Rattus norvegicus: one gene and its partners. The main gene of each other region encodes a partner of the protein of the gene in region 2 in a complex. Links are inferred from orthologs where the notes say so. Each region holds a gene or a part of one and is shown on either strand. Other genes may lie near its edges. The genes, in order: Med12, Med24, Med26, Med18, Ccnc, Med21 and Med13l.

Evidence for each region.
Region 1: Med24 (region 2) and Med12 share a complex: the UniProt entries of both Homo sapiens proteins name them as parts of the mediator complex. The link is inferred for Rattus norvegicus from reciprocal best matches to the Homo sapiens genes MED24 and MED12.
Region 3: Med24 (region 2) and Med26 share a complex: the UniProt entries of both Homo sapiens proteins name them as parts of the mediator complex. The link is inferred for Rattus norvegicus from reciprocal best matches to the Homo sapiens genes MED24 and MED26.
Region 4: Med24 (region 2) and Med18 share a complex: the UniProt entries of both Homo sapiens proteins name them as parts of the mediator complex. The link is inferred for Rattus norvegicus from reciprocal best matches to the Homo sapiens genes MED24 and MED18.
Region 5: Med24 (region 2) and Ccnc share a complex: the UniProt entries of both Homo sapiens proteins name them as parts of the mediator complex. The link is inferred for Rattus norvegicus from reciprocal best matches to the Homo sapiens genes MED24 and CCNC.
Region 6: Med24 (region 2) and Med21 share a complex: the UniProt entries of both Homo sapiens proteins name them as parts of the mediator complex. The link is inferred for Rattus norvegicus from reciprocal best matches to the Homo sapiens genes MED24 and MED21.
Region 7: Med24 (region 2) and Med13l share a complex: the UniProt entries of both Homo sapiens proteins name them as parts of the mediator complex. The link is inferred for Rattus norvegicus from reciprocal best matches to the Homo sapiens genes MED24 and MED13L.

What each region holds. Positions count from the first base shown.
Region 1 is NC_086039.1:70,461,810-70,465,043, reverse strand, and holds part of Med12 (mediator of RNA polymerase II transcription subunit 12), read right to left. Parts: intron 2,195-3,234; coding exon 1,817-2,194; intron 1,597-1,816; coding exon 1,446-1,596; intron 1,304-1,445; coding exon 1,098-1,303; intron 937-1,097; coding exon 859-936; intron 772-858; coding exon 554-771; intron 1-553. UniProt on the Homo sapiens protein: Component of the Mediator complex, a coactivator involved in the regulated transcription of nearly all RNA polymerase II-dependent genes.
Region 2 is NC_086028.1:84,162,380-84,165,879, forward strand, and holds part of Med24 (mediator of RNA polymerase II transcription subunit 24), read right to left. Parts: intron 1,859-3,500; coding exon 1,594-1,858; intron 1,217-1,593; coding exon 1,035-1,216; intron 863-1,034; coding exon 772-862; intron 320-771; coding exon 220-319; intron 1-219. UniProt on the Homo sapiens protein: Component of the Mediator complex, a coactivator involved in the regulated transcription of nearly all RNA polymerase II-dependent genes.
Region 3 is NC_086034.1:17,332,545-17,336,569, reverse strand, and holds the start of Med26 (mediator of RNA polymerase II transcription subunit 26), read right to left. Parts: upstream 2,801-4,025; 5' UTR 2,533-2,800; coding exon 2,461-2,532; intron 2,437-2,460; exon of another isoform or gene 1-2,436. UniProt on the Homo sapiens protein: Component of the Mediator complex, a coactivator involved in the regulated transcription of nearly all RNA polymerase II-dependent genes.
Region 4 is NC_086023.1:149,946,847-149,949,672, forward strand, and holds the end of Med18 (mediator of RNA polymerase II transcription subunit 18), read right to left. Parts: intron 2,233-2,826; exon of another isoform or gene 1,795-2,232; coding exon of another isoform or gene 1,743-1,794; coding exon 1,189-1,742; 3' UTR 501-1,188; downstream 1-500. UniProt on the Homo sapiens protein: Component of the Mediator complex, a coactivator involved in the regulated transcription of nearly all RNA polymerase II-dependent genes.
Region 5 is NC_086023.1:40,066,683-40,070,182, forward strand, and holds part of Ccnc (cyclin-C), read left to right. Parts: intron 1-685; coding exon 686-770; intron 771-951; coding exon 952-1,021; intron 1,022-2,476; exon of another isoform or gene 2,477-2,526; intron 2,527-3,500. UniProt on the Homo sapiens protein: Component of the Mediator complex, a coactivator involved in regulated gene transcription of nearly all RNA polymerase II-dependent genes.
Region 6 is NC_086022.1:181,294,274-181,296,504, forward strand, and holds part of Med21 (mediator of RNA polymerase II transcription subunit 21), read left to right. Parts: intron 1-1,964; coding exon 1,965-2,079; intron 2,080-2,231. UniProt on the Homo sapiens protein: Component of the Mediator complex, a coactivator involved in the regulated transcription of nearly all RNA polymerase II-dependent genes.
Region 7 is NC_086030.1:43,491,320-43,494,819, reverse strand, and holds part of Med13l (mediator of RNA polymerase II transcription subunit 13-like), read left to right. Parts: intron 1-442; coding exon 443-663; intron 664-932; coding exon 933-1,138; intron 1,139-3,500. UniProt on the Homo sapiens protein: Component of the Mediator complex, a coactivator involved in the regulated transcription of nearly all RNA polymerase II-dependent genes.

The DNA of each region.
Region 1 (3,234 bases), on a different chromosome or scaffold from region 2:
ATTTGACTAAAATTAACCATGAAATTCATTTGTTAGTCCATCCTAGAGTACAACTGCTTTTTCTCCCCTTGAGAAAGGGTCTCATGTAGCTCAGACTGGCCTCAAACCATTATGTAGCCAAGGAAGACCTCCTCCCTGTACCTCTTGCGTGCTACCACTGCAGTTGTGCATGACATAGCAGGCTTTGTGTAGGGCTAAGGATCAGACTCGAGACATCATGCATGCTAAGTAAGCATGCTATCAAGTAAACCTTATCCTCAGTCCTGGTGTTAACTGTTTAATTCTGGATTTAGCAGTCTGTATCATATACTGTATCTATAAACCCCAGGTTCTTATCAAAGTTAGATATTTGTTTCTTCTGTCAGTTCCTCAAGGATTTCTTCCAACTCAGGTCATTTGTGGCAATACTTACATGACCAGATTAGTGTTCTTAATGCCTCCCAAAGTTCAGGCCCATTTATCACCTTCAAGTACAGGGTTTCCCAAATCAGATGCTTGCTTATACCTGCTTATACCTCAGTATCCCTTGCCAGTTCACTACTACTTTGGGTACCTTTGAGTGGAAGTCAGTCCATGCCCATAGGTTGGGGCCTGCTGATGCACATAGCCACTGGGCCGCTGTTGCAGGTGACGGGTAGGATCTACAAGAGTAGGATTGGTAGAAGGGTGGGTGCTCTGATAAGGCTGGCTGGAGTAGCTGGGGGGCACCATGGTACCTGCAGGGCCTGTGTGTTGCTGCAATCCCACATGAGAGACATAGGACGTATAGCCCTGGAGGGAAGGAGGAGAGATCTGGGGAATGAGGAAGTACAGCAACTCGCTTCCCTCTCCCTGAGGTTACTAGTCTCAGGCACTTACCTGGGAACTCTGCAAACCATAGGAAGAACTAGGAGTCATCTGATGGACAGATGACTGTCCCAACATTCCCTGACTCTGCTAAAGGGAAAAAGGAGAACTCAAGTTCAGGAAATGCTTTCTGCCATGTCTCTTTTATACCTCTGACCCTGCATGCTCCTGTGAAGGTTCCAAGTATCTCCTCAGTCCTCTGACCCACCAAAACCCCTCTCCCTGGCAGTCCTCCCTACTGCCCCTCTCACTATCTTTGCCTGGAGCTGTTGGCGAAGGCGCTGTCCCTGGGGCACTGTGGGTTGCTGCTGCCGGTACACAGAGGTCTTATAAGAAGAGGGTTCTAGGCCCATGACAGTAGTCATAGTTGTAGGCAGCACACCGGGGTAAGTTGGTCGAGTTGGCAGCTTCTGCATTGGTAATCGCACAGGGCGATATGGGTCCACACGAGGGCCACCTGGAAAGGAGAACAAATTGACCTCTCGGAGATCCTTATCCCTTCAGCCTCATTTTTTTTTTTTTAACAGTTCCAGCCATCGACATTTCCCCTGGGAAGGGAGGAATGTTCAACTCCACCAATCCTAGTGACTAGTACTTACCAGCAGGCAGTGGCTGGTTTTGGGTGTACAGGCCCATGGAGCTCTGCCTGTAGCTAAGGTGGGATATAGAACCTGGATTTGCATGGTGTAGAAGGTCTGGAGGCACTGTCACACCATAGGGACCACTCCGACCTGGCCCCATGCCATAGTCCTGTATGGGTGCAGAGGACAAAGGTAAGTGACTTACAGCAGTTCTGGGTGGGGAGGTGAGGGAGGAGGGTGTAAGGAGGAGCGGTACTGATCCAATTCACTGGATCATGATTCTAATGGCACCTCTTCCCTATGTACTGCACACCTCCCATAAAGCAGGAACTTTAGCTTCCAACTACACATGAAGTCAGGAAAAGGGCTTGGGTGGGATGGGGACTGGCCTCGCTCTTGGTGGCTGGCTGACTGCGTTTCTTGCCCTTGGTAGATTTCTTCTTGCGCTCCTCTGTGCTGGGAGGAGCAGTCCCTGGTTTGTCAGTCTTGGGGGGCTCAGGAGCCTTTTTCTCAGGCTCTAGTAGGGCAGGGGCTGGTGGCTCCTCATCTTCTGGGGGCAGAGGTAGTGGCTCCAGGTAATAGGCTCTGGGTCGAGGCCTCAGGTGGGTATGGTAGAGCAACAGTCGTTGCTGCTCCTCCCCTCGTGCCACTCGGCGGTCCACTCGGACTGTGCCAAACCAGGCCCATGATAGTGGTGCTGTTGATGGCTTCAGGCCCTCAAAAAGCTCCCAAGGAGAGATCTTTTGTTTGGTGGAAACTTGTAGACCCTGCTCCAGCAAAGGAGAAACAATGAGCCACCGAGACTTGGAAAATAGGAGGATGTCTAGAAAGGGCAAACTATCTGTTGATAAGTTTTCAAAGTATGAAAGAGTGGTAAGTAATCGGGGATGTGAGGAGAAGAGGAGAGAGACACTAACACAGAGATACATGAAGGACAGACTCTGCCTGGGCACAGTTGAACTGAAGGAGAAGAAGAGAGAGACACTAACACAGAGATACATGAAGGACACACACTCTGCCTGGGGCAGAGCTGAACTGAAGGAGAAGGGGGCAAAGGGGAAAGGGGACACCAGGAGAGAAAGAGGGTACTAAAGAGGCAGATAAGGAAACAGAGATGGAGGGGAGGAGAGAAGCTGACAGAAGATGAGGGAAAGAAAGAAGCCAGAGAGAGGGGAGGGAAAGAAGGGAGAGGAGAGAAAACGGGAAGGAGAGAAGAGGAGAGGAGAGAGAAGGAAAAATTAAAGAGGGCAAAGAGAGGCAGTCAGAGAGAAACAGGAAGAGAAAGACAGGGATAGGGACAGAGAGACGGAGAGCAGCCAGAGGAGAGAAACATGATAAGAAAGGAATTACGAGAATGTGTACACTGAGGAGCTTTGCTTTGCATTTGAACCTCTGTATCCCCCCTTCTCTCTCCGCTATGAAGAATAAATGGTTAATCAAGGAAACACTCAACCAAGTGCTTGATAGAAGGCCTGTGGCTAAGAGCCCTTGCTACTCTTGCATAGGACTCAGGTCTGTTTCCCAGAACCCACATCAGGTGGTTCACAACCACATGGAACTCCAACTCCCGGTCTCTGTGGGCACCTGCACATGGACATGGCCTACACATACCCAAGCACATAATGCTTTAAATCCAAATACTGAAACCAACATAAAAAATAATAGGAAGCTGAGCTGGGCAAGTAGAGAGACATGGAGAAAAGAGACAAGGAGCCAACAGAATGCTGGGAAATGAGAAAACAGTGGGGCAGAGAGGGGGGCAGGGCATGGAGAAAAGTCAGAGGGGACTGAGACAGGCAGAACAGTA
Region 2 (3,500 bases):
GTGAGTCAGTGGTACAAGCTGTGTCAAGCTGGTGAACTCACTAAATGCCTCGCCACCCTCCCACCAGTGATAAGGGAGGAGGACCTGTGGGGTCAGAGCACCCACTAGGGACAGAGAAGTGCAAGCTCCTGCTCTGCCAGACGGCCATGAGCTGGGAGTCGAGGAAGCTCGTGAGGGAGGAGTGAGTCCTGGGCAGGCCCATGATCCCCAAGTGCTCACTAGGACTTGACAGGATGCTGGCATCATCCTCATTGGAGCTCAGGAGCCGCATAAGCTTTGAAGGCTGCATGTCCTCCACAGGGAAGAGGCTGATATAATCCTGGGGACAAGGAGTCACTGTCACACACTCGACTTCCTAAGTCTCCAGGAGCTGGAGAGGACTGGAGGGCAGATCTGACTGGAGAAGTGAGCTTCCTACAGTCCTTGGCCAGCGTTACCAGTGGTGACCCTTCCCATACCCCAATCTCTGCCCAGTGAGCAGAAAAGGATCCTCATCAAGGATACTCAGAGGACCACTCAAGCCACTCCTCTAGACCCTGACCAATCAGACAGGCCCACACACAGATGACCTTAGCCCCAACCTCTGGCTGGGAGAGCACCTCTGCTTTAAGCGATCAGAAAATGTTTGCTGGGTTGGGGATTTAGCTCAGTGGTAGAGCGCTTGCCTAGCAAGCGCAAGGCCCTGAGTTCAGTCCCAGCTCCGGAAAAAAAAAAAGAAAAAAAGAAAATGTTTGCTGAATAAACACATGACCAAGTCAGCAGCAGGCCTACCTCTATGTCTTCTCTGTGCCTCTTCTTCTGGCGTGAGGATGCCTGTCCCTTGTGGGAAGAGTAAGAACTCAGGGCACACCAAACGGCTAGCCTAGCAAAGGTTCCAGGAAAAGGCATAGTTAAGTCGGTCCCAGAAGAAGCTACATGTTCACAGTGAAGGAGCCCCTTCTGTCCCTCACTCCCACCCAGATCCTGGGTGACACCAGACTGAATCTGGATGCTAGATGCTTGGGGCTCAAGAAAAGCTCTGGAGAGAATCCTACTTGGCTAGTGCGGTGCCAGGAGGGTCCATGAGGCTGTGCCACTTGGAGGAGTCAGTAAGCAGCCCAGGCAGGATGTGGCCCAGCAGAACCAGGGTCACTTGTTGCATGTCCAGACAGAAGATGGAGTACAATAGTTGAACTGCCCTTAGCGTGTGCTCCTTGCGAGTCTCCTTCAGCAGTTCCTGAGAGGCAGGCGAGTGGCTCCTGAGGTGCTGCCTGGACCCTAGGATTCTGATGCTCTAACCACCTCAGCAGCCAAAGGTGCTATTCAACCCTAACTCCCAAGGTGCTTCTCTGAGGTGAAGCCCTATCTCCCCAGGAGACCACCCAGCTTCTAGCAATCTCTCAAAGAAGCCTGGCCTATCCCAGACAATGATGTCTCCTGTCCCTGTCCACCTGGCTTGTCCACATACACCCCAGCCCAGCCTATCCCAGCTGATGACATCTCCTCCCCCTGTCCAGCTGGCTGTCCACATGCACCCCAGCCCGGTCTATCCCAACCGATGATGTCTACTGCCCTTATCTATATGGCTGTCCACATGTACCCCAGCCCTAGTACCTTAATCAGGTTGTTGCAGAACCAGTAGACGCCACCCATGTGCAGCAGGGTGTCAAGGATGTGAATGGAGCGGCTGTCCACCCAGCCCTTCTCCAGTACCTTGGCAAAGATGTCTGTCAGTACCTCCTTGATGGGACGCTTGGGAGGAAGCAGGTTCCAGTAGGGCATTGTGTCCACGCCCGTGGATGGAAACTTGATCTGCGTGGCTGTCTGCTGTAGCACGTCCGCACACATGTGTTCCAAGATTGAGTTCATAATCACCACCCTAGGGGAGCAGGGAGGGTACATGCAGGCATTACCCCTGGGTTGGGTTACGGAAACATGGCTGAGGAATTAGACCCATAGTATGCTGGGGAGGACAATACAGTTCACTCCTGGCGAGGAGCTCACTTGCCAGGCCTGAAGCCTAGGAGAGGCACAGACCAGGATTTTCTTCTCTTGCAGATTCCATCAATCCACTCAGATTTTCTGTTTCTCCTCCCCTCAACATCCCCATCCCCTTGTCCCCTCCCCCAGGCCTGAGCACTGCCAAATCAGGGTCATAAATAAACACAATCACTTCCACTTAAGCTGAGCACTTGGGGGAGGGGGTCCGACCCAGCCCTGGCACCCTCCCAAAGTAAACTGTAACTTCCAGGAGAGGCCTTTAGGCTGCCCCATGAGACTCTTCCCGGCCCTGGGCAGCTGGGCAAAATGTGCACGGCCTGGAATCCTCTTGGGAACATCTGGGCTGCAAACACAGCTGGGGTCTGAGTACTAACTGCTGGGATGTCAGGGTGCAGAGAGTGCAACCTTGACTTTCAGAGCCCCTCTGTGCCCGTGTGCTAATGTGTGTGTGTGTGTACGTGTGTATTTGTGTGTGTGCGCGCGTGCGTGCGTGCATGCGTGTGTGTGTGTTATAGTGTGTGTGTGTGTGTGTGTGTGTTATACACACTTAATTTGGATGATGTCCCACAGGCAGGGGAGTGCAGATAAGAGTGTACAGAGCCTCCCCAAACTTTGCTTGGGCTGTTTCCATATGTCCCTCAGAAAGCATCTTCAGCAGCTGCCCTGCAAGCCAGCCCAGCCCCACATACACAGCAACTCTCTCCAAGTCCCCTTGAGGGGCACGGATATGCAATGTTACTCAGCCTTAAAAGGAAGGAAATCCTGTCACATGCCAGAGTATGAATGAATTTTGAGGAAATTATGCTGAGTAAAGTCAGTCAGTCATGAAAAAGCAGGTATTACGTAATTCTAGTTATACGAAGTATCTAGTGTAGTTGCTCAGAGGGACAGACAGCAGCACGGTAGCTGCCGGGAACCCAGAAGGGGGGGTAGACAGTTGCTTATTGGCTAAAAGGCTCGGATACACAAGATGAAAATGTCTGGAGATCTGTGTCACAACCCACATCCTGAGTGACACACAAACACAGTTGAAATGGCAAATTTTCTATTATGTGCTTCACGCCACATTTAAAAACCAACAGCCCAACAACCTAACAGTTGGGGGGAATGAACGGACACCACCAGCCCGTGTGGCGGAAGTCCCTCAAGAGCCAGTACTTGAAATGGTCACCAGGACAGCTGGGGGTGGGGGAGGGCAGCTATAAAAACTGCAGATGCCTCAGAGTTCCTCGACAGTGACACAGCCATATAATCCCTTTGCTCTTCTGCCTCAGCTGGTTCTCTACAACTTGGAGTCTTTGAGGACAGAAGCCAAGCTGTCTGGGGTCCATATTTCCCACTCATGGACTGCAGGGTTAAAACCCTCTCGATCCAGAGAGACACCAACTACCTGCTGTGCCAGTTGAATGAGTGTGTGACAAAGAATGTGAGGGAGTGGTAGGGAAGGGAAGCCGTAAGCCGAGAGGGAAAGGAGAGTCCAGCCACCCTAACTGGGCACGGCCTGGGCAGCACAGCAAGGT
Region 3 (4,025 bases), on a different chromosome or scaffold from region 2:
TGTCCCCGTTTTGTATTTTTTCCATGAACATCCTAAATATGTGTCAATTACCAAGTGGTGGAGCTCATAACTGGGCAGATCAGAGCAAGAGCAGAGATCCCTGCACCAACATGCGGCTCTTACCTGGGCCCTGAACAATCACAGAGACAATGCAAATGGCCGGGCACCCCTCAGCAAGAAATGGAGGACAGTGCTCCAGGCTGATTCTACAAAGAGATTCTGCAAAGCTAGCCCCTAGAACATATACCTAGTTGTTTTTGTGGATAGTCACTGACACATTGCATCTAGGGAAACACTCCCCTCCTCACTCAGAGATAAGTTCTCAACTCCAGCCACAACAAGGTCTCCTATCACTACAGCCCTTTGAGATACACACTCCAAGCAACTTACTCACAGGCCAATGAGCACTTAGGACCAAGGGAAGATTCAAGAAACTAAAGTTGGAGGCCAAGCATGGTGGCACATACCTTTAATCCCAGCATTTGGGATTAAAGCAGGTAAAAGCAGACAGGTTCTGTGAGGACACCCTGGTTTACATACATAGTGACTTCCAGAGACAGTCTCAGAAAAAAGACACAAACTAAAATTTGGGCCCTCTATCTTCCTTCTTCTATCCCCAAAGGGTCTTTTAGTCAGACCCTTACCTAGCACTTGGACCCCACCTGATCTACAACATCATGACTACCTGTCAAAGCACTTGCTGATCCCAACACTCTCACATGCAAGCAGTCAGGATCTCTGAGAAGATCTCAGCAAGGAGTTACACAGGTGTAAGATTTACAATGTGGAAGAGAGGAGCAGTGATAGTGCAAGCATTTAATCCCAGCACTCAGAAGGAAAAGGCAGGAGAATCTCTGAGGCCAGCAGCATGGTCAAAGAGCAAGTTCTAGGATAGCCAGACCTACACAGAAGAGGAACCCTTCTCGAAAAACAACATCAAAAAGATTACACTATACACTATAGCTTCAGCAAAGATGCAAAAGCCATCAAGGCTATGTTTTCCTATCACTTATTTTTACCTTTTAATATCCTAATATATCAATCATGTGATTAGTCAGCTATTACCAATCACTGGCAAAAAACAAAACAAAACAAAAAACCCTTAAACCCGCCCCCCAAAAAAGAAAGGTTTTCTAGAAGATTTTTATCTAGCCTGTCTCTATTCCACCACAAAAAAAAAAAAAAAGTCTACAATATTTACTAAATTACTATCGACGTGATCCTAAAGACTAGGAAGAGAATAATTTTGAATCTGGCAAGTAGATTCTCATAGAAACTAGAACATCTCTATTTCTACCAAGACCACACAAACAATGTGAATTATTCTGAACACACAATACAGCACATTGCTACAAGTAACTAGCCAAGCATAGGCAAGGGAACCCAAAAAGGTTCAAACCTCTGTTACCTGGTCCAAGATGATTTTTTTTCTTCCATCCTGGGCATATTAAAAAGTGATCTCAAAAGCCACTTCCTGGTTTCCCAGCAAACACTTCATATCTGAATGCCTGTGCATCTTCCCATGGCCCTACTCCTGACAGCAACAAGGACACCCGCCCCCTGCACTGCCAACAAACCTTTGGAAAAAATACAAGAACAAGTAAAATTAGTCTACACTCACACAGGAAGAAAAAAGGCGTCCTACTGCTCACAGGACTCTTGACAGAGGAAAGTGTGATCCCTTACAATTAAATCTTGACAGCCTAGAGTCCAAAGCACCTCAGGTGGAGCAAGAGAGATGGAAAGAGGACCGGAAGATAGGGATAAGAGAACAATCTACTGTGATCGGCAGTATTTCAGTACTAAAATCCCAGGCTTTAGCTACTGGTCAGACGCGCAATGGAGCATTTAGGCCAAGAGAGGTGACAGGAAGGGTCCCACTCTCTGCAGAGTCGTCTTTTCTAGGAAGCGACCCACTATCAGAAGAGAGGATACTCTCCAGGCATCACAGGAAGACAGACTGATGGCAGAACAGGCCTAGGGTTCCCTACGAATCCAAGAAGGGGATTCGCTAGAAGACCGAGGGGGAGTAAAGGCCAAGACTCCAGAGACGCGGGCTACCCGAGTCATCGCGGAGACACCAGTTGCTTTCTACCTTGTCCCCCGGCAGGGAGACCTTTCCGGGGGGTTCTCAGTTCCCGGGGTTGGGGTGAGGCAAGAAGGGCACGGTGGGGAGCACCAAGGGCAGCCGGGCTGGGACAACCGAGGAGAACCAGCTCTCATCAAAGCTCCGAACGATCCCTCAGTCCAGGCCGCGTGAAGCCTCGGCCTCAGGTACCCTCAGCTGCCGGGGTACCCGCCTTGCCTTCGGCCTCCGGACCCAGGAGAACGAGACACCGAGATGGCAGCGGCCGTGGCGGGCAGATCACCGCCCGGAGAGAACCCCTGGCAGGGGCGCGTCGGAGGGGGAGGGTCCCGACACATGCGGCCTCGGTCCCCGATCGCGCGGCAGTCACTTACGTTGCTCTGGGAGTCGATGGCCTGTAGCAGCCGGTCCCTCATCTGCTGCGGAGACGCCGGAGCCGCTGTCATTGCCTGGGCGAAGCGGGGGGGAGCGGCCGGGCCGGCGGGCGGGCAGGCTGAGGAGGGGGGACGCAGGTCAGTCACTCGCCGGCCTCCGGGAACGGAGCCGCATGTTCCCCGCGGCGCCAGAGGAGGTCGAGGCGCTCGGGGAGATGGCGGAGGACGGAGGAAAGCGGAGGGGACCGGAGCTCAGGCCCCGGACCGCCGCCGCCACCGCCGAGCAAGGAGGAGGAGGAGCCGACGGAGAAGCCTCCGCCACTACCGCCGCCGCCGCCGCCTCGAGAACCAAACTCCAGTGAGCTGCCCCCGCGCTGAGCACTCTGGGTAACCCGCGCCGCACGCAGCGTCGGCGCCACGCTGAGGAGGTTGGGAGATGGGGGCGGGTGGAGACGCCGGGTTTGGGAGGGGCCGGCTTGTGAGCCCCGCCCATTGATTCTGCGCACGCGCACGCATGCGCACTTATCAGGTCCTGCCGCCGGGTTCTAAGGCCGGATCCAGAGAGCCGTTGGGAGACGGTTGGGCGTGGCAACGGACGCTATCCGAAGGTCACGCCCACTCCGGACTAGGGGGCGGGGCTTCCTAACGGAAGCTCACATGCCAAGTCCTGGAACACCGGCTCTTCCTGCTAACTGCTTTGGGGTTGCGGAATGGTAAGACCCTCCACCGGATGAGGACCTCTAGCTTTGAGGAATCAGAGGATTGGAGCGGCCATAGGGACACTAAGAAGGGCAGCGGTTGTCTGCGTTGAGACCCGTGCGGCGAGTAGCTCGGAGAATCTAGGCGCAGCCGTCGCCGCTGCAGAGGCCCCAGGCGCGGATCTGCAGGGCAGTGAGTGTCCCCATGTGACCCGCGCGCTGCTGGGACCTAAGGGCACGTATGGGAGCTGCCGCCTCCGCCGAGGGCTCGAGTCTGCAAGGCATGCGCGACGCTGACACCTTGGCTGTGCATCCACGAGGGGCTGGAACTCAAGAAGAAGCACCGCTCTTTTTTTTTTTTTTTTAATTCTTTTTTTCGGAGCTGGGGACCGAACCCAGGGCCTTGCGTTGAAGCACCGCTCTTGTAGCCCTCCTGAGAGGCGAACTGGAGGTGGCCAGTCTTTGTCTGCACAACAGGATGCGGAACCATCGCTCAGCATCGTCCCCTCCGCATTCGGAGCGGACGGAACGATCCCTGCTTTGCACCCCAGCCACTGGAAAACAGGAACGCCTCACCGAGGAGGAAGGGAAGCGCCAAGGTCACCGTGAGTTTTAGGTCAAACCAAGAAACGAAGGATATCAAGTATAAGGGCTGTGGTCTCCGGCAGGTGGAGTGGGAGGGCGGGCTCCGAGTTTAGCGCACTGTATTACAGTGGCTTCGGGAGAAATAACTTTCGTTTTGTGTCGTAACCTTAAAAATCCAGACATGAAACGGAAGGGAAACAGGTAATGAAAATCACATGTACTCCTGAGAGCTGCGGGACACCTGTTAATTTTAATTTGTTATACTTCTAGGGAGTGCTGGAG
Region 4 (2,826 bases), on a different chromosome or scaffold from region 2:
TGGCAGCGATCTCTCTACCTATCTAGTTCCCAAGGCAGGTTTCCATGCCAGAAACACACATCCCAACTCTGTGGCGGCCCAGACCAGCCGCTGCACATTTTCTTACACTTAAATTGCTACATGAAAGAACACACAACACAATAACCTTTGGCCCAATTGATAAGATATAATTGCCCACCTAAACATACAAAGCCCAGTGCACATCCATCCCTTAAGAACATTTGTAACAACCTGTGAAGGTGCAGCGTGGAATCTTAACGTCACCCGCCATATTGTCCTGCCACGGTTCTCTCCTTGTCCCTCCGGTCTCTTCCATTTCTGTCCCCTCCTCTTCCTTCAAACTTTTTCTCCCGCCCATCCTTCCTTCTCATCCAATGACAGGCCTCCTTCTATCTTGTGCCTGCCTCACCTGTGACATCATCCCACAAGACAGTAACACAGTAATAGCAAATACCTAAGTAAAATAGTAAGGAGCTGAGTAAGAATCAGAATCACAGCTGTGTCTTTTCAGTCTTTATTGCCCCACAATGCCAGCTCACACCACCATTATGAACCTTGAATAGTAATGGCAAAACAACACAATTAAAAAATATGAAGAAAACAACAAATAAATAAAGGAATGAGAAAATACTTTTCTTAAAAAACAAAAGAAAAACAATTATCAGTTGTTTTTTGACTTTTCCCTCTAAAAAGCTAATGTATTCCAGTTCCCTCTTTTTGGGTGGAGGGAAGACTTGAACAATTCTCCATATTATACTGGGTCTTTCATTGGAAAAGACTGTCAAGAAGATGAACAGTCGGGTTCAATAAGGACCCTTAACACAGGCACCTAGGCGGACAGGACAGGGACCTCTGAGTTCCAGGCTAGCTAGTTTATGTAGTGAGTTCCAGGGGAGCCAGGGCTACATGGTAAAACCCTGTTGAAAAAAGAAAGGAAGACAGACAGACAACAAAGAAAGGAAAGAAAGGAAGGAAAAAAGGAAGGAAGGAAGGAAGGAAGGAAGGAAGGAAGGGAGGAAGGAAGGAAGGAAGGAATTACCAGGTGAAGGAAACAGTTCAAAGGAACCAAATTCTCACCATCCATCTTCCAGAAGGAAGTGGCCTGGCTGGCATCAGTACCTAGGGTACTTGTGGGATCTCTCACCTCCCACGTGAGGACAGGTCTCAAAGGCCGACAGACTTTCTTCCTCACATCAGCCTTTTAGGGTCTATTTTTTCTAGGTGAACCAGAGGTTTGAGCTGCTCTGCAAAGTTCCTCATGTCATCAGAGACCATGTCCTGCCCAGCTGGTGCGACAACACTTAATTCCACAAGATAAGAGAGCGACAGGGCCTCAGTGCTGTCTGTGTTCCCTGGGACCAGGATTCGGAAAATCTTGTACACCACAATCTTCATGATGCCCTTCCGGAACAGGTGTCCTTTGGCGACGAACTCATGGTCCATGCGGAAGCCCATTTCCATCAGGAAGTCCGTGAGGTTCTCAGACGTGGCGATGTCCACGCAGTTGCGCACCAGGGCATGGCGGTTCTTGTCTCCCATTTCGGGCTGTCCCAGGTAACGCAGATGCCAGGGCGCCCCTGCCCTATCCATGGAGCGCCGGGCCCTTAGGACGAACGGGCTGGCCTGCTGGCCCTTAAGCAGGAAGACCATCTCGTGATCGAGAAAAGTCTCAGGCTCCATGTTGTCACACAAACCACGGAGGCGATGGATCAGACTTTCCAAACTGTGGTCTAAAACACTCCCTGAGGAGGCAAAGGCACAATGAGTCCAGGCTTCCATTTCATTTCGAGTCATGAAACTAGCAAAAATAAACACAGTCGACAAATAAATAGTCCTATGCGATCTTTCATAAGAACAACCCACGGGATTCTAGTTATCTGTTTATTCAAACCTTCCTTACATTTAGCCTTTCACGTCTTGGCAAACACGAGAATACAGTGGCACGGGAATGCTGGCTGGAGGATGAACTGCTAGAACTGAGTCTCCTCCTCCTGTGGGGTCCACAGGTCCAACACAGGTGGTCAGGCTTAGTAGCAAATACCTGGTGATGATGTGCTTGGGAATGGCCCACACAGGCTCCCGTACTTGAGTGTCTCGTCTCTTACCTGGTATCGTTTAGGGAAGGGTTAGGAATTATGTCCTTGTAGGAGGAAGTGTGTCAATGGGAGTTTTCAAAGCCAGGCCCCATCTTTCTCTGTCAGTGGATCAGGCTGTAGCTCCAGACCTGCCTGTCTTAAAGGGATAAAGGGGCGGGCGGGCGGGGGGGGGGGGGGGGGGGGGAAGACACGCATCACCACACCCAGCTGTGTTCTGAAGGATCATTAAGTCAAAAGGAAAACCTGAATTTGTAATTCCACAAATGGAAGAATTTCGTTGGCTAGAAATAAACCATTATGGCTGGGTGTACACCTGTGGGAGGCCCTGGGTTCCGAATGCAAGGCCTTGGGTATGATCACGGCGCCAAGGACCACAGCTGAGGGATGGAGCTTAGTGGCCAAGGACTAATGCGCAAGGCTCTGGGTTCGATTCCTAGTACTAGAAAAAAAAAAAGATTAACACCAGCAAAGCAGCGTTGTTCTACTGAGCCAGGCATGAGGGCACTCAGGAGACTCGGGCTGGGAAAACGGCTCGGAGGTGCAGAGTTTGTCCTGCTCTTGCACCTGGGTTCAGTCCCACCCACATCAAGTGGCTCCTGACTGCCAGTAACTCAACTCCAAGGATCCCAACACTTCCAGCCTCACATGTACATACTGTCCCCTGAAACACATTCGCACAGAATTTAAAATGGTATTTTAAATCTTTAAAAAAAATAAAAAAGGACTGAGG
Region 5 (3,500 bases), on a different chromosome or scaffold from region 2:
TTGTCATTTTGCCTTATAACTTTGCATTAGCAAGAAGGAGATTTAATCAAGAGCCCTTTACTGTGTCTGGGATAGCTTTGCTGCCTGTTCTTTTGTTTGTTTGTGTTGTTTGTTTATTGTATTTATCTTATGTGATTTGCACTTTGCCGGTATCTGGGCAGTTATCTGCTGTGCCTGATGCTGAGGAAGTTAGGATCTCCTGACGGAGTTACAGAGGACTATGAGCCACCATGTAGGTGTTAAGAATGGAACCCAGGTCTTATGCTCTTGACTCCTGAGCCATCTCCCCATCCTGTCACCTAGCTTTAATTCCGTTATTCTCTGCAATCCTACCTTGTCCTTATATCAAAGATTAACTATGGATTTCTTGGTAAATAACAATATCTGTCTTAATTTTTAAGCTACTCTATAGCTATTATGAAAAGCATTAAAATATGTAGTAAAGAAAGAATATTTGATACTCAGCCTGCTTATATTGCAAGGATAAATTGCAGGCAGTTTCTCTTATTGTTTATGAATATTGCTGCATTTGTAAGTCTTAGACTACTGGAGTTCAGAGGGTGTCAGAGTGTGCCTAGATGTGAAATGGTCATGATTGCAACGTAGAAATCACTAATAAAACTTAAGGTTATTAGTGTTGGTATACTGATGACAGATGGTACATTTAAACGTATTCTTTTTTTAGTTATCCAAGCATTAGGGGAACATCTTAAATTAAGACAACAAGTTATTGCTACTGCTACAGTCTATTTCAAGAGATTCTATGCCAGGTATGGTTGTTTTATTTATTATTTTTAATGCCTGGTTGGAATTCTTTTCTAATTTCCATGTACAATATATAAAATAAGTAAATCACTTGTTTACTGTAGAATTATGATTCCCAAAGTCCACCCCCACCCCAGTGTGTTTTCTAAATAGTCATCATTTAACTCTTGTCTAATCATATTTTAGGTATTCTCTGAAAAGTATAGATCCTGTATTAATGGCTCCTACATGTGTGTTTCTGGCATCCAAAGTAGAGGTATAAAACAATTTTCTGTTCTTCATGAAAATATTGATATGTCTGGTTTATCATAGATAGATAGATAGATAGATAGATAGATAAATAGATAGATAAATAGATAGATAGATAGATATTGCTTTTGTATGGTTAATCATAGTTATCCTATGATAGTTTATAGGAACTAATATGCACATCTTGAAAATGTTTTTATTTTTTTAATAAATATTTTATGTATCAGATGATTTAATGAGCCCTTTGCAAGTTCTTTTTTTTTCTTTTTTTTTTCATCTTTATTAACTTGGGTATTTCTTATTTACATCTCTATTCCTTTGCAAGTTCTAATTCAATCCTGTAACTCTGGAGTATATGGCAGTAGTATCCATGTGGGGTCAAAGGACCAAAGACCCTGACCCTGGTTTGACCCTGAGATCAGGGCCAGGGAAAGAACACCTTGACTTGAGCCCAAGCAAGAAACCAAGGCCAAGAAAAAGAATCCTTCCAGTCCCTGAGTTTGCCCCAAGATCAGGCCCATGCTACCCTGGAAAACAATCCTGCCCCCCACCCTCAAATACAGCCTACCTTCTTAGGTTTCTGCTGCTTCTCCTCCTTACCCAAGCAGGGTTGCAAACACCTTCTCTTGTCATTCCCAATAAGTCTTTATGTGAACTTTGTTGTGCAGTGTGACTTTGTGGTATTCCTTGGCTCCTGACTGGGAAGATGCCTTTCCTTCAGAGATGCAACACTGGGGAAAGGAATCCCCTCAGAACTGTAGCATTTACAATTGTCATTTTAGAAATGAGGAAACTAGGGCATAGAGAGAGCAGTGTTCGTATACTGGGTCAGTGGTTCCAATAGTCTAGATCTTCATCCTGTAACTTAATTGCTTGCTGTCTTTAAAAGACTATTTATCTGAGTGTGGTGGTGCATGCCTTTAATCCCAGCACCTGGGAGGCAGAGGCAGGTGGATCTCTATGTATTCAAGGCCAGCTTGAACCACAGTGAATTCTAAGTTCCAAGATAGCCAGAGGTTTGTAGTAAGACCCAGTCTTAAAACAACCAAAAAAAAAAAAAAAAAAAAAAAAAAAAAAGAAAAGAAAAAAGAAAAAGAAAGAAAGAAAACAAAGGAGGTAGCACAGCTTATCTACTATGGCCTGAGAATGTCTCTGCTCCTCACCCACATGCTTTTTGTTTACACCTGACTTCTCTGGTAACAAGCCACTGTGGGAGAGCAAAAAGGTAGAAAAGACTTTATAGACTCCAGCAAGGAAGTGTGGATAGTGAGAGCAGAAAAGGTAAGTAAGAGAAGACAGAGAAGGACTTGGACTGGGAACTGCATTTCTGCTCAACTTACTGTTTGCAATATTATTGAGAAAGTGTAACTACCCCCTAAAGCCCAAATAGTAGCAGATTCTGAGAACTGGCTTTTTTCTTAGCTAATCCACACAATTCCTAGTCTATTGTTTCTGTTCTTAGGTAATGTCTTTAGGATAATTGTATCCATGTGAATTGAATGACTTTAACCAGTAAGTTTGTTTCTTTTGTGTTCATTTTATCTTAGAAACATTCATGACATCTTGATTATCTCTTAAGTATGCAGAATTGAATATATTAGAATACTAAAACCCTTTCTAGGAACCTAAGTTAACTCTGTCCATGAGAGAGATAAAGTTTGAATAAATCTAGTTATAAGTCAGTCTATAAACAAGTCAGTTATAGTGTTTACCTAGTTCCCATGAGGCCTGGTTTCAGTCCTGAGGACCAGATGTGTATCGAATGTCTTTTTGAATAAAGAGGTCTTGTAGATGAGGTGTATTTTTAGTTGTGGTTGTTGAGTTACTTTTTCTTAAAGTTTTTTTTTATACAATGTATTTTGACCATGTTTTCTCCCCTACCCTAGCTTCTCGCAGATCCTTTTCCCTACTCACCCAGCTTAGTGTTCATTTTCTGTGTCTCAAACAAAGCAAAAACTAAAACAAAAAACATAAGACAAATATCGAAACAAAGCCAGTAAGAAACAAAAAAGCCTTCAAAAAAAAAAAAAAATCAAGCAACCAAGGACAAAAGCCATGTAGTTAATTTTGTGTTGTCCAACTATTCCTGGGCCTGGGGACTGCTTTAGAGTGTGTTGATTTGACTAGGGTCACTCCATTGGACCTTTGCCAGTAGGTATCAATTCCAGGTAGCATTTTCATTTACCCTCTCAGTATGTTGCATTACATTTTAACTCTAACCAAATCTTTCTGTTTTGTCTAATTGATTAGAAATTGTGGGCAAAATCATGTTTAACATACTATCTTCAGTTTTGAGTTTTTAGTTTTAATTATTGGGTTTTGAAGGTTAAATATAAATATATGTGCGCACATAAAGTTATAGATTACGTTTTTGTTTTTTTTTTTTTTTTTTTTTGGTTCTTTTTTTCAGAGCTGGGGACCGAACCCAGGGCCTTGCGCTTCCTAGGCAAGCGCTCTACCACTGAGCTAAATCCCCAACCCCAGAT
Region 6 (2,231 bases), on a different chromosome or scaffold from region 2:
AGGTGGTAGTAATGCACACTCTTAATCTCAGCACTCTGGAGGCAGAGACAGGATGTCTGAGTTAAAACCAGCCTGGTCTATACAGAGTGAGTCCAGGACAGCAAGGGATACACAGAGAAACCCTGTCTTGGGCAGTAATTTTGTTTGGAATAAGTTTGGCGTATATATCTCAGTACTTATAAAAGGAAAAGGAAGATTACTCTTGCTTGGTTTTTTTTTTTTGTTGTTGTTGTTTGGTTGGTTGGTTTTGGTTTGTTTTTTTTCTTTCTTTCTTTTTCTTTTTTTTTTTTTTTTACTTTCTTTTATTGAGACAGGTTCTCATGTAGCCCAGGTTGTCCTCAAAAACATCTCTGAGGATATCCTTGAAATTCTCATCCTCCTGCCTCCAGGTCCTGGGTTTACAGGTGTGTGCTACCACCTACAGTTTAAGCAGTGCTATGGATCAAACCCAGGGCTTCATGTATGCTATGTAAACAACCATCTGAACTCTGTGTGTGTGTGTACAGGTGCATTTAACCTGTATACATTTATGTAGAGGCCAGAGTTATCTGAGGGTATTTTTCTTATTTATTTATTTATTTATCTATTTATTTATTTGTGTATTTATTTATGACAAGGACTCTCAGTGAGCAGAAAGCTCACATTTTCAACTAGATTAGCTCTCCAGTGAGAACCTAGGGTCTCTGTTGTGGATACAGGGGAACCAACTTTGTGTTTGGTGGTTTTGGTTTTAAAAATTAGCATATGGGACTGGAGAAATGGCTCAGCAGTTAAGAGCTTAGCTGTTCTTTCAGAGCATCTGGATTTAACTCCTAACATCCACATGGTGGTTCACAACTATCTAAAACTCTAGTCCCAGATGATCTGATGGCCTCTGTGGGCACTGAATGCTCATGGTCCTCATACATACACACAGACAAAACACTCATACACATAAATAAAATCAGCATAAAAATGGTTTAGCGGCTGGCAGAGTGGCTCAGCTGAGTAAGTAAAGACTCTGCCCCTAGATCTGACCTGATTTTGAACCTCAGGACCCACACTATAGAAGAAAAGAACAGACTCTTACAACAGTCATTTTTGCAATTCAAATTGACTTTGTTGTCTACTAGTTCAACCACTTTGGTGTCTTAGGATTTGTTTGTTGAGTTTGAAGGAGACATTTCCTTCTTTCTTTTTTTAATATGTATGATGATTTTTTTTTCTACATGTGTACCATGTGGGTGCCTGGTGCCTGTAGAGTCTAGAAGAGGACATTAGGTCCCCTGAGATTAGAGTTATGGCTGTGAGCTGCCATGTGGGTTCTGGAAGTTGAATCCAGGTCCTCTGCAAAAGCAACCAGTGCTCTTACCCATTCAGCCCGTGTTTTCTCTATTGCCGTTTGCGTATCTGCTGGGATGGAGAGAGCTCAGTCTCCAGAGCCACTCAGAACAAATCATTTACAGCTGAGTCTTTGGTTTTCTTGTAGTACAACCCTGGCTGGCCTTGAGCTCAGAGATCAGCCTGCCTCTGCCTCCCAGGTGCTAGCATTAAAGGTGTTAGACGACATAACCTGGCTTTCATGTATTTATTCCTTAAGCTAGATTAATACCAAATTTAATTTACCTAGATTCATATTTGTTTGTATGATTAAACCATTTAATCCAAACTAGATGTAAATAAATCCCTGAAGAGTGGGTGTTTTAGCTGCAGCCTGTGATACTGGGCTCATTTTATTTCAGACTATCCCTTTGTCTGACTGGTTTGTATGGAGAACATTGTTATGAAGAGGTCGTTGCCATTTTTGGTTCTTTTTTTTTTTTTTTTTTTTTCCGGAGCTGGGGACCGAACCCAGGACCTTGCGCTTCCTAGGCAAGCGCTCTACCACTGAGCTAAATCCACAACCCCGGTCGTTGCCATTTTTAATAAAATCCTTAACATTGACAGATCTTTGTAACCTTGACCTTTTTTTCCTTTTGCTCAAGCTTGCAGATCAGTTTTGCAATGCCATTGGTGTATTACAGCAGTGTGGTCCCCCTGCCTCTTTTAGTAACATTCAGACAGCAATTAATAAAGATCAACCAGCCAATCCTACAGAAGGTGAGCTCTGCTTAGTTTGACTGGCATTTTTTTCTACAATTTATAGCTTGTTTGTAAAAAATGTGACTGTGATTAGAGTATATTGCTCTAAGTTTTGCCATAGATTCTTTATTTATTTATTTTTTTTACATATATTTGGTGTATATGTGGGT
Region 7 (3,500 bases), on a different chromosome or scaffold from region 2:
CTATTATTACTTAACTCTAAAATTGTATGGCTAGAAAGACAGTGTGAGATCATTCCCCAAAGAGCAGGACTGTGTGATTCAGTCACCCACCCCCCAGGCTTGCTCTAAATAATTTTTATTCTCTTACTATTTCATAAACGTCTGGAGATGGAGATAGACTTTCATAAGTAGTGTAGTTGGAGAGCTTTCACTTTCTTCTCCACCCGTCTCCTTCAGGTCTTAGAGTCAACTATGGGAAGGAAAGCATGCTCTGCAGACCCTGGTGACTGAATTAGCATGACACCATACAGCATGAAGAGGGGGTCCCAGGGACGTGTGGACGCCTGAGCGTGACCTGTGTCTTGAAAGTCCGTTAGCCTTGTGTGGATACTGCTGTGCCTGGCTGCTTGTCAGAGCTTTTCGGAATCTTGCTGTTAAGATGCACTTTTAATTTTGTTTTTAGCAGTTGCAGACTTGCAAAGGATGTTCCCCACCCCTCCATCATTGGAACAGCATCCTGCATTTTCCCCGGTGATGAATTACAAAGATGGAGTGAGTTCAGAGACAGTGACTGCATTGGGCATGCTGGAGAGCCCTGTGGTCAGTATGGTCCCCACACACCTCACGGAGTTCCGGATGGAAGTGGAAGATGGCTTAGGAAGTCCCAAGCCAGAGGACATAAAGGTAATGACCAGTGTGTGCGCTTCCCCATGGCTGGGCGGCTTCTCGGTGGCGCCCACACACGCGTGTGTAAGGGCTGTTGAAGCCGGAGCCCGTCAGTAGACGGACACTGACCGCTGCTCACCAGCAGTGAGGGCATTAGGTTTTCCCTCTCACTCCGTCATGTAGAGAGCTGTTTCTACAGCAGATTCTGTGCCCGGGTTTTAGGAAGCGCTGAGCACCCAGGGCTGGCTTCGGCGTGCCAGCATTAACCCAGCCCCTCATTGTCACAGGACTTTTCCTACGTGCACAGAGTGCCGCAGTTCCAGCCTTTCGTGGGCTCTTCTATGTTTGCTCCACTGAAGACGCTGCCAAGCCATTGCCTGCTGCCTCTGAAGACACCGGATGCCTGTCTGTTCCGGCCCTCATGGGCGGTTCCTCCGAAAATGGAGCAGCTGCCCATGCCCCCTGCAGCCTCTTCCATTAGAGACGGCTACAAGTACGTGCGCAGCTCTACCACTTACCGCATGCGATGCAACCATGCTGGTTTCCAAGTGCTCGTCACAGGGCCACGGCAGCTCAGGCTCAGACTGGTTTCTTGCTTACTCTCGTTTGTGACCATGTTGTCTTTTGCAGGACCGTGTGTTTATTTTTAAATGAGATTTCCTCTGTGCGTGAGCGCGTGTGTCTCTCTGTGCATGAGCGTGTGTGTAGACAAATTAAGATTATTTCAGAGAGCTGTGTGTAAGTGTAATGTGGCGTTTGCCGTAGAACCTACCTCCGATTGGAGTTGCTGATGGTTGTCAGTAGTGGGAGGAGCTTTGGTTTGTGTAAGGTAATGATTTCAGCGTGGGACTTTAAAGTTAGGTAATACAGTAACAGATTGAGGCGTGATTGGGAAAAGTAAAGGGAGAAATTGCTGGTGACTTGGTGTCTCGTCTGCCCAGAGAAACAATATTTGTATCAGCAGTGCAAACTCTGTTTTCTTTGAAAGAAAGAACTTCTTCCTCAGATAAAGCAAAAATTTACAAACACAAATGTGTGTCCGGGCCATGTGCATGTGTGGATGGACCAGCGCTTTGCCAGTCTCACTGCAGGGATTGTGGAGATGAGTGGGCTCCAGCACTTGCCCCTTCTCAGGGACCGTTGTCAGGCAGGGAGACTGACTGTATGTTGGCCCATCTGAGCCAGCAGCGAACTCAAAGATGATGAGCCTTAGGAGCGAGTAAACCAGTTCTGCCTCAGGGCTCATTCTGGCCATGTGTCTGTGATAGACACCAGCAGTTTACATGGTGTCAGCTTGAGGAGCTGGGTGGGAAGGGGCAGAAGGACCCTGGACTTGGAAGCCAGCACCTATGCCATGTGACAGTTCTGCCTCCTGAAAAGACTGTGGGCTTGAAGGACCCTGGCCCTGGATATTCCGCTCCTTCCAGTAGATTATTCTCCCCAGAGCTGTGGGAATGTTCCAGCAGCCAATGACTGCAGACCGCAGTGGGGAAGGGAAAGGACTGCCAGGCCGGCTGCCCTGGGAGTGCCTGGCCGGGCTCTGCCAAGCTCTATTTGGGCTCTAGCTGCTGAGCGAGGTCCTGGAGCCTCAGCCCCAGACTCTCTGGACAGGTTCTGATAGTCTTCACTCTCTGAGTGGCCACTCCCACCCATCCATCGCCTTCCCCCTATACCCTCTGCAGCCAGAGGTTAGACTGGCGGCCTGGTGGAGCCTGTGCTAAGGGAAGAGATTTTGCTCACACTGTCTGATGTGGCTGTGGCCAGTGTTGGCTCCTTATCATGTGGCTAGTGGGTTCTTAGCTCTGCTTCCCTTAAAACTAGCCCTGGGGTCTGGGAACTGCTTTACCAGGTGGCACAGCTTGGCACTGCCAGGTCCTGCTGTGCTCTCCAGTGCCACTGCACTGGGCTTGCCTGTCATGCTTGGTATACTTGCTGATGCTTGCTTCTGTCTCTCTGCTGACTGCCCCACTTTTCACTCAGGATTGGTTTCCAGTTCCTTCTTAGGAAACAGGGAAGAATGAGGCTGCTAAGTAAGATGAACTGTTTTCTACCTAGGGAACAAGTGAAGTATTTAGATTTTCAGCTAGCAATCATGGTTCTGTTTTAATCCACTGTAAAATCATTTTAGGATCTTGTTGACCAGCAAAATTTAAAGGAATCCAATAAATGTACAGATAGTTATTTATTGCACCATTCAGTTTCTCTGTCAGCTTTTGTCTGAACCCAAGAAATCCTTGTAAGTCAAAGTTTATGTAATTACTGCCTGGTTCAGATACCTGAGCCAATGGTACAAGTTCTAAAAGACTGCAGGGCGATGGCTTGTGGAAGTAAATGGGTGTGAAGCTCACTGAGGAGCACAGGCTTCATGTGTCGAGTCATTAGGACTGAAGTCCTTGCGAGTGCACATAGTGAGCTTGAGCCTGTGCGCTGTCTACAGGCCTGTGGGAGTTGTTGAGGGTGTGCTTCAGGGCAGCTTTAGAGTGGCAGGGCATGCACATGCTGCAGACGTGATCTCCCCAAGCCACTGCTCATGAGATAAACAGCCCTGTCTGTCTCAGAACTGAGAGAGATTGAAGGAAGAAGGGGACCCTCAGGGACCTCTTGGTGTGTCCTTCCCAGTGACTGCTGAGTGACAGACACTAAGCCCTGTGCTAGACAGACAGATGGGCACAGCAGTCACACAGTGCTGGGGACACTCACGCCTTACCAGGGCTACCATCTGACTTAGGAAAGCACCACATTTGAATGTGGATTTGGTTACAGCCACTTCAGTATCATTGCAGAGTTGTGGCCTCTAGGAAAAGTGCACAGGCAGAGACGCAAAGCCGTAGCTGTAGAGTGGACGCAAACCCAGC